Linked DNA regions of Caenorhabditis elegans. The protein of the gene in region 2 binds, or shares a complex with, the protein of the main gene of each other region. Each region holds a gene or a part of one and is shown on either strand. Other genes may lie near its edges. A codon is read from its position in the direction of its gene.

Evidence for each region.
Region 1: the proteins of ced-9 (region 2) and egl-1 are in contact, whole or in part, in a crystal structure (PDB 1TY4), measured with the Caenorhabditis elegans proteins. Residues at the interface, in NP_499284.1 of Caenorhabditis elegans: Met119 (codon at 2,480), Ile122 (codon at 2,471), Phe123 (codon at 2,468), Lys126 (codon at 2,459), His127 (codon at 2,456), Phe131 (codon at 2,444), Phe134 (codon at 2,435), Gln137 (codon at 2,426), Leu138 (codon at 2,423), Val141 (codon at 2,414), Asp151 (codon at 2,384), Val152 (codon at 2,381), Arg154 (codon at 2,375), Thr155 (codon at 2,372), Val156 (codon at 2,369), Ala159 (codon at 2,360), Thr161 (codon at 2,354), Gln163 (codon at 2,348), Ser167 (codon at 2,336), Tyr168 (codon at 2,333), Gly169 (codon at 2,330), Arg170 (codon at 2,327), Ile172 (codon at 1,790), Gly173 (codon at 1,787), Leu174 (codon at 1,784), Phe177 (codon at 1,775), Arg219 (codon at 1,649), Leu227 (codon at 1,138), Gln230 (codon at 1,129), Met231 (codon at 1,126); in NP_506575.2 of Caenorhabditis elegans: Ser63 (codon at 944), Ile65 (codon at 938), Gly66 (codon at 935), Tyr67 (codon at 932), Glu68 (codon at 929), Ile69 (codon at 926), Gly70 (codon at 923), Ser71 (codon at 920), Lys72 (codon at 917), Leu73 (codon at 914), Ala74 (codon at 911), Met76 (codon at 905), Cys77 (codon at 902), Asp78 (codon at 899), Phe80 (codon at 893), Asp81 (codon at 890), Gln83 (codon at 884), Met84 (codon at 881), Met85 (codon at 878), Tyr87 (codon at 872), Ser88 (codon at 869).

Annotation. Positions count from the first base shown.
Region 1 is NC_003283.11:14,430,673-14,434,411, forward strand, and holds egl-1 (Programmed cell death activator egl-1), read right to left. Parts: upstream 1,688-3,739; 5' UTR 1,624-1,687; coding exon 1,618-1,623; intron 1,343-1,617; coding exon 1,177-1,342; intron 959-1,176; coding exon 810-958; 3' UTR 636-809; downstream 1-635. UniProt on the Caenorhabditis elegans protein: Plays a major role in programmed cell death (PCD or apoptosis) by negatively regulating ced-9.
Region 2 is NC_003281.10:10,332,891-10,338,053, reverse strand, and holds ced-9 (Apoptosis regulator ced-9), read right to left. Parts: upstream 2,883-5,163; coding exon 2,631-2,882; intron 2,583-2,630; coding exon 2,322-2,582; intron 1,791-2,321; coding exon 1,641-1,790; intron 1,154-1,640; coding exon 974-1,153; 3' UTR 532-973; downstream 1-531. Other genes in the region: ttr-15 (Transthyretin-like protein 15), read right to left, coding at 37-181; mev-1 (Succinate dehydrogenase cytochrome b560 subunit, mitochondrial), read right to left, coding at 3,064-3,162, 3,216-3,578, 3,690-3,776; jmjd-4 (Jumonji domain-containing protein 4), read left to right, coding at 4,036-4,219, 4,266-4,386, 4,439-4,576, 4,626-4,875, 4,926-5,163. UniProt on the Caenorhabditis elegans protein: Plays a major role in programmed cell death (PCD, apoptosis). egl-1 binds to and directly inhibits the activity of ced-9, releasing the cell death activator ced-4 from a ced-9/ced-4 containing protein complex and allowing ced-4 to activate the cell-killing caspase ced-3.

The DNA.
Region 1 (3,739 bases), on a different chromosome or scaffold from region 2:
TTCAAGGCAAAAACGAGTGGCGGCTCTTTTGACAAACCTCTGGGGAGACAAGTCAAGACAAGGCGACAACGAGCATAAATGATTCATGCGGGAAAAACGATACCGTAGTTATGCTTGGTGCCAGATTGGGTACGCACAATTGGCCAGGTCATCGGTCTCGATTGTCATTCGTTTTGCCAGAAATTTTTCAACTGACATAATATTTGCTATGTCTTTTCCTACAATATTGTAACAGATTTTTTTTTGATATCTCTAGTATGAATCGATATTTGAGTTGTCAAAGTAATACGGTAGCCTAAGGAATGGAAGTCGACATGTTTTGAAGTTTCCAAGTATTTGACGGTTTAGGTTCTTGTTTCCAAATGCTACACATTTCTAACAATGCCATCCACGTTCGGTTCACAAATATCTGCTTGCCTTGTGCCTTCGCCTGCCTTGTGCCTACTCCTGCCTTTATACTTATATTCGAAGCCCTCATTCCCAATTTTTCAATTTTTATTCACATCTGGTGTTGCAGGCGGAAAACGAAATTGAAAACAAAAGTATACAATCGTAGGCATACTTTCATTTTTCCGTTTCTTCTTTTTTTTCAATTTATAACCCTGAAATATATAAACAAACTATTCACACATTTCTTAAAAAAAACCATATTTATTATTAGATAAATATGAGCAATAAAGGACTATGGTACAAATATTGAGGGGAGTTGGAGACGGAGAGATCGAAAAATAATCACAAATGAAGAAAAAACACCGGGTATTATGAGAAATCATGGTACAAATTGGAGAAAAGTTGGAGATTTTGATCACTTAAAAAGCGAAAAAGTCCAGAAGACGATGGAAGAGGCTTCTGTCGGAAGCATGGGCCGAGTAGGACATCATCTGAGCATCGAAGTCATCGCACATTGCTGCTAGCTTGGAGCCGATCTCGTAGCCGATGCTGCTGATCTCAGAGTCATCTGAAAATTGGAATGAATTAGAATAGGATTCAACTTTTTTTTTTGTTTTTTATTTCTCAAAAATGAAAACAAATATTACATTTAATTTTGGTCTTATTTGAAAAGTTTCAATTGCAAAAAATACTTGGAATATGATCAGCTTTCATAATTTTGACAACTTTTTGAAATACTTTCAAAATCATTTTTACTATAGTCTAATCAAAACAAAAAAAACTCACCAAAAAATCCCGAGTCGTCGGCAAATTGAGAAGAATCTTCACACGAGGAGAAGTCCTGAGACGAGGAGTAGAACATGTTCTTTTCGTTGTAGAAAACGGAAGATTGAACGTCAAAAACGTTGGACATTGGTAGAAGATCCGAAGAGGTTGAGGCAAAGGTGAGCATCTGGAAATTAGTAAGGTTTTGAAGGGGGTTTATATAGGGGAAAGATAGTAGGGAGATGTCTAACAATTACTAGGATACAAGTTCTAAAACAAGAAACAAAAAACAAAAAAACAAAAATCTGTTTTTGTTTCTACACCACGAACACATCCAGAGAGAGAGAGGTTGAGGGTGAGGCGAGCAGACAAAAACAAAAATTTGTTTCTCAGGAGGGGGAGGGGGAGACGAACAATATTGGACAGGTATGTAGATCAAAAATAAATAATTTCTAGACTTACCAGCATATCAACTGAATTGAAAAGAGAAGTTAGAATACGACTAATCGGTGTGAATGTTTTGGGTGTGAATGAATGGTGTGCGTGCACAGCTTCTCATTGCACGCCCCGCCCAGGCAAGGCCACACCCCTCTACCACAGGAGTGTCAAATGTCAGGAGAGGGGTCTAGAGAAGGGGGTATAAGTTTGCAGGCTTGATGAGGATGATTAATTGATGAGGTGTGATGCAAGATTTGAGTTTTGAAAATAAGAAGTCGTGACGCAACAGCTGGTACTGGAGCAAGCACGGGGGAGGTTATTGCGAAACTGTATAAATTAGGTTAAGGCCGAGGAATGGACAGATGAAAAAAAAGGGTTTGATCAAGATAAAGAATTTGAACTGTCGGGTTTAAATAAAGAAACAAAACAATTTTCGAACGTTTTCGAAACGGGGATCAAATGATGTTCCAAAGTTCCTATATGGGAGCCAAAACTTTTATGAAGACAAACTCATAGCTCTTGAAGTGTAATATTAGACATGAAATAAATTTAGCAGCTAAGTCTGTCTGAGGAACTAACAAGATTACAAGCTTACAGAAAGATTACAGACCTGAACCTGAGAACTGAGCCGGAAAGCTTTAGCTTGAAGTTTTAAACCTAGGAACCTTCAGTTTAACATATTCTGCACATTTTAACGAATGTTTTGAAAACAAATATTGGACATTAAAAATATTTTGAATCTACAAAACTATCTCAAGGCCAGCTTCACATGGTGTCAGAATGTCCCATTCCGTTGTGATCTACAAAAAACGCGGGAACTTAGACGCAGACTTCTCAACTGATTTCGCATGGTTAAGAACGTGCTGACGTCACATTTTTTGATGAAAAAATTCCCGCATTTTTCGTAGAGCAAACCGTTATGGGACAACCTGACACCACGTGCAGCTTTCTTTGCAAGAGTGTGACGTCACACGCGGCCTTGAAAGTTCGCTGAAACGACTGTGACTTTCAGAGATTTACTGAAGAATATATAATTTTGAAATTAAAAACAGGTAAAACCCTGGAAGCCAAATAGTCGAAAAACCTCATGTGACGTCACAGACGGCCATGAAATGGCAGAAACTATGATCAGGCCTCTATTTTTTAAAAATTTGTTTGGCCATTTTTCGACGTGTGAGACTTCAGTTGAATAATTTGTGAAAAATTTCAAAGCTTCAACAAAAAGTTTATAACATAGGGGCACTTTTCCAGCCAATCACTATTTTCTGTTGCATTAAATTTCTTTCAAAATGTAAATACAGTTTTCCCACTTTTCTGAAAATTGAAATCTATTCAAAATCAATGTAACAAGTTATAGAATCTATAAAACCCCAATATAACTTCGCCGCACTTCCCACATAAATTGCACCCCAGTTACAGTATACCTTTAGCCCACTTAAGAATTACGTAATCCAATTTGACCCAATCACACCTCTTGAGATCATTCCACCTTATCCATATTTGCATATTTAAAGGATTCTGACGTAACACAGAGAGTATATTAGCCGGCACGTCGGTTAGCATCAAAGTGTTTACAGTTAGTCGAGAATCGACTGGATTAGTATCGTTTCACACGCCAATTAATCGGTTGAAGCGTGCCGACAAACAGATTATCCCCTTACAGTGTCGGAAGCCATGCAACAGGTCGGCACATCGCAAATAATTGATGAGGTAAATGGGTTTGCAGCTTCAGGATAAGCTTGTTTTCATATTGCACATGGCTTCTAATAGTGTGAATTGCATTCTGAGTGTGGAGTCATCATTTCTCAAGATGTGTGTTGTATTTGAGTACTTAAGATATGCAGGTGCGCAATCAGAAGACTAATTGGGTAAATATTGGGAATAGGAAGAGGATCTGCTCAGATTTACCTCAATAAGTTAGTATGTTTATCTAGTTAAAGTTAATACGCTTTTTTAGATTTCATTCTTTCGCTGTGTATTTCTCTAAATTGTCAAAATGTTTCACAGTATTTCCTCTTTTAGTTTTGCACCCTGCTGAGCAACTTTGACGGGTCATATCTCCGATGTCTTCCACTTTATCAAAAACTTGTCAATTGAAAAAAATGTGTGATTCTTTTTTTATGTGAATGTAAAATTAAATGTGAAT
Region 2 (5,163 bases):
TAAGCCGTTTCAAGCTAAACAAGACTGAAAACTCACGAGTATCTTTCTCCCAAAGGGTAACCTCCGCCTGAATTCTCTTCTTATTACAAATAGTTGTACCCTTGACAGTGATAGTCTGCTTCTTTGCCTCAACAAAAGCCAAAGCCAAAAGAACAACAGAGGTGAATAGTAAAGCACGCATTGTTGTTTTTTGAATCGTGCACTAACGTTTTTTGTTTTATATACCGACAAAATTCAAGGGAATCAAAATGGGCGGAGCCTATCTGATGGTGAAACAGCGATAAGGCGGGGGGATCGTTTACACTAAACAAAAACATTTTTGTTTCGAAAAATTCAAGGCCATCGAATTGACCGTCGTCTCGAGACAGAAGAGGCGAGAAAGATGAATCATTATATTAAAAAATGATATTTTCCTACTAAACTTTTTTGGATGACGTGATGGCGAAAATGAAAACCGGATTCTCTTGCGCACGCCTATTATCAAAATTGCAGTTTCGTTCCGAAAAAAGGGTTGAATAAAAGAACCGTTTTTTTTGTTGTTGTAGAGAGAAAACAATTTGAAAAAAATAAATACAAAGTCGCGTACGCGTACAGGAATTTGGGGGGAGTTGGAAGAGGCCACACGAAAAGAGACAGTTAAAGTGAAGATGAATTATTGAGATACAGGGGTACTTTGGAAATGTGGAAGAGAAGCGGGAGGCTAGGCCACGGCGAGAAAAGTTAGGGTTTCAGGGTTTTTGACGAAATGTACAGAACACGGAAAAGTTGATATTACGCGGAAGTAGGGTTTGGCCAAAAAAAAAGGCAATCGGAAAAAATTGCAGTAAAATCGTAAATCGACACAGAGAGCCGTAATTTGTGGCCTAGCTTTCCCACTTCTTCCAGTTCAAAGGATGAGAGAATCAGTGAGCAAAAATGAGATTCAAATGTAAGGAGTTGTACATAAATTAATTATTTACACAAATTGAATACGTTACTTCAAGCTGAACATCATCCGCCCACACACGACGACTCCAACGATTCCAATGGCTCCAGCTGTTACTCCAGCGCCAATCATCGACCACCGTCTGTTCTGCTTCCGGCGTCCCACTTTTTCAGCTTCTGCTCGTTCGTAGTCCTCTTTCATTTGTTTTCCGAGTGTCATGAAGTCGTCCTGCAATTTTTTTCTTGATTTTTTATTTTCACAAATAATGCTTTAGAGCATATTCCGGGGAACACAAAAATCCGTGAATGCGTATTTCACAACATATTTGAGGCGGAAATATCTCGTAGCGAAAACTACAGTAATTCTTTAAATGCCTACTGTAGTCGATTTACGGGCTCGATTTTTGAAATTAATTTCTTTTGATTAGTGGTTATTTTCTTTAATTGTAAAAATTTTAAAAATTTAAAGAATTACTGTAGTTTTCTCTACTGGATATTTTGCGCGTCAAATATGTTGTGAAATACGCATTCTGCGAATTTTGTATTCCCGTAACAATAACATTATCATAAACAGTAATATACTTGAATATGTTTCCAGCTGTCCCCCCAAGAGGCTACCGAACCCTGTAATTATCGGCTTACCAACACCCCGGGAAGTCAAGGGTACTAGGGAAAGGGGGATATTGACTTCTAATGTCTATGCAAATACTCCTTACCCAGCTCCGATTGTGTTCCTTCCAGTTGTTGCGGATCCGCGTTTTGATGAACAGCGATGTGTAAACGAAGAGGTTTCGCACTTGTCCCTGCAGTTCCACGGATTCCATCATTTTTGCAGCTACGAAACCGCCGAACGAGATTAGACCTATCTGAAAATTAGAAATTTGCAATTTAATTCGTTCATTTCTGGCGGAAAATTAAGCTTAAAAAAACGATTTTTCTGGTTTTTAATGTTCGAAAATTGAATTTTTGGGGTTTTTCGTTCAGCAAATCAGCAGAAAAACCTGTTTTTCGAAGAAAAAAGTTCAAAAATCGAATTTTAATGTATTTTCCACAAATTTTACATTTAAAAACCGATTTTTGATAAATCAGCAGATCTTTTTCGCAAATACAAATCAAGGAAAATATGCTTTAAAAATATTCGAATAGAAAATAACGTTTTTAATCGAATTCGTAAAGTTTTCTGCTAATTTATCAACAAAAAAAATTACAATCCGGGATCAAAATTCGTGGTTTTTTAATGGAAAACTTTCAAAAAAGACACATAATTGGGCTATTTTTGACCAAGTTTTGCTGATTTCCTGAAGGAAAACAAACAATTTTTGCAAATGTTTTTTCTGCCACCTTTCTGGCGAATTTTCGAATTTTTGCAAACTTTTTTTCAGTATTTTCTCCCTTACCAAACGTCCATAAGACATTGGACATTGATCTGTCTGTGCATTTCCAACCGTCCGAACCACATCCTGATACAGTGAAAATGAGATTCTGGGCACTGCGAGCAGCTGCTCACAGAAGGTCTCAAAATTTTCCGCGTGCTTCTTCTCGAATATCGTTCCCATAACTCGCATCATTTCGTGCTCCGGTTGCACTCCACACGGCAATCCCGGTGCTCCAAACCATTCCATTCCGTTTTGCCGGATTCGGTGCGTGAAATAGTCGACCTGGAAGCAGCAGGAAATTTTATTTACAAAAAAAAATTAAAAAATTACCACAAATCCCTCGATATCAAGCCTTGGCTCTTCCCAATCATTGATTTTTCCATCAATTGACTCTCCGATGGACATTCTTCGCGTCGAAGCCTGCCTACTCGGTGATGGCAAGTCCTGAGCATCACTATTGATTCCAAAATCGGTGGGCTCTGTGCCTTTTATCCCCAGAAACTCCTTCATCTCGCCAGTCGCCATCGTTCGTCGCCGATACGCCGGATTCGTCAGCGAGTTGTCCGCCGTGCAGCGTGTCATCTAAAATTTTTATTCGTTTTCATAATCATAATATACATTCTAGACAGAGAAAAAAAAACGAAGAGGAGAGGTAAATCTACGGAAAAGAGAGAAAATCGAAGAAATCAACGGTAAAAGTAAATTGACGAGAATTGTCGAGGGCTGGGGCGGAGTAAGAAAAAAGAAGGCGGAGCATCTGTGCCTAGGCAGTCTTGTTGCTCTTGTTCTGGCAAGAGTTGAAGACAATGGCGAGAGCAAGAATAGCCGAAAGTCCAGATACGAGATATCCCGATTTGTAGATCTGAAAATTAATTTTTATTTTAAAACAATTAAATTAATAATTTCAACTCCTACCTGTCCAACATTATTGACTCCCTTAGCCAAATCGAATCCTAAGAAGCGAATTCCGTTAAGAGTATGGAAAATGATGGGGAAAGCAATGATGTACTTGAAGACAGCGGTCACCGCGCATGGTAAGTTCCAGCTACGGATGAAATCCACAAAAGCGGTGAAATCGAACGGCAAAACTGCGAATCCGATTCCTCCGACGAGAAGGGTTCCGGCCATTACACAACCGCTGATTCTATGGAATCCGGAGAGCATCCAGGTCAATTGTGGCTGGTAGACGGTGAGATGTGGAGCGATTGGGCGATTCTTGGAGCGCTGCTTCAACAGGTATTCCCATCCGAACTTCTGGATTGGCGTCTTTGCCTCGGACTGTGAATATTATAAATAATTAATTGAAAAGAATGTGTCTGTTATACATTTCTCCTTCATGCGTACACAAAAAATCAACAATTTTCACGGAAAAATTCAAAAAATCCCCACCTTGGTGACGATCGATGTTCCAAAGGAGCGGGAAATCGACGATCTGGCGCCCAAGCGGCACAGAATCGCAGTTGGAATGTTAATCATCCTGAAACAATGCTGATTTTCTTATCAAAATTGAAAAAAGAAACAGGGCGGTGCGTTTCAAAACAAGTGTTGAATTTTGTTGCGGAAATGCACGCACAGGGCACGAGAAGTGCGCCAGCAGCGCGTCTCGTTTGAAGAGATGCGTCAGCAAACGACCCGGGCGCACTTTTCGACTTGTTTTTTGTTCTTTTTTTGTTTTTTTTGTTGCATTTTCTGTGATTTTCTTTGAATAATTATTTTTTCCATTGCAAATTTCAAGATGAAATCTAAAATTCCTCGAATTTCTGATCCATCGACTCCATGGCTAGAGATTTTAGTAAAATTCGGCTTCAAAAATGAGCCTTTTATCCTTGGCGAGTGGAGCACTTCTGGCTGGACAGCCGTTAAAGATTGGGTGCTTCCAAATGGACAGCCAAATAAGGAATATTTGAAAAAGTCCTATGGTTTGTCTGGATAGTTTTTTGTTATGAAAATCCCGTTTCGCTCCAGGAGATTCGAAAGTTCCTATTCTTTGCGGAGGAAATCAGTACAAAACCACTACTTTGAAGGAATTTCTGGAAGAAATGGGCGATCCAGAAGTTTACTTAAAGGATTGGCATTTTCAAAACGAGTAGGAGTTGAATTTCAATTCGAAATTGATTTTTTTAAATTAAAATATTTAGATTCGGAACCTCTTCATACTCCTTGCATCCTTTCTTTTCTCGAGATTTTGTAAATTGTGAGCCATGGACTAGTGAGAAATCGGAAAATCCATTTGGTGACGACTATCGATTCGTTTATATCGGAGCTTCTGGATCCTGGTAGCCTTGGAATTTTCTTAAAAATTAGAAATCCCCTCAAACTTTCTAGGACAAAACTTCATTCCGACGTAGTTTCATCGCATAGCTGGTCAGCGAATATTTGCGGCAGAAAACAGTGGTTTATGATGCCCCCAGGCAGTGAAAATCTGTTTCGGAGCAGCGTTACAGAGTCGGGGTTTGTGGATGACATTCGGGAGTATGAACGGCTATTCGAGCAGGCAAAAGTGATAAAATTCGTTCAAGAGCCCGGAGAAATTGTGTTTGTCCCATCTAATTGGTACCATCAGGCCCACAATTTGGTATATCAACTATTTATCTCTCAGTTTAGAAGGACATCATTTAATTCCAGGAAGACACAATTTCCATCAATCATAACTGGATGAACAGCACGAATCTTCATCTAGTACAGGAGTTTTTGAGCCGGAGGGAGCTAGATGTTCGTGAGGAGCTCCAGGATTGTGTAGATCTGTTTTCCGCCGAGGAATTTGAAGAAAAAGTGGATCTTGTGTTGTTCGCCGACGCTAGACTTAATAATTCAAAGTTTCGAAAGCTGTGTGAGCTTGTAAAAGAATCTAGAAGTCATGAAG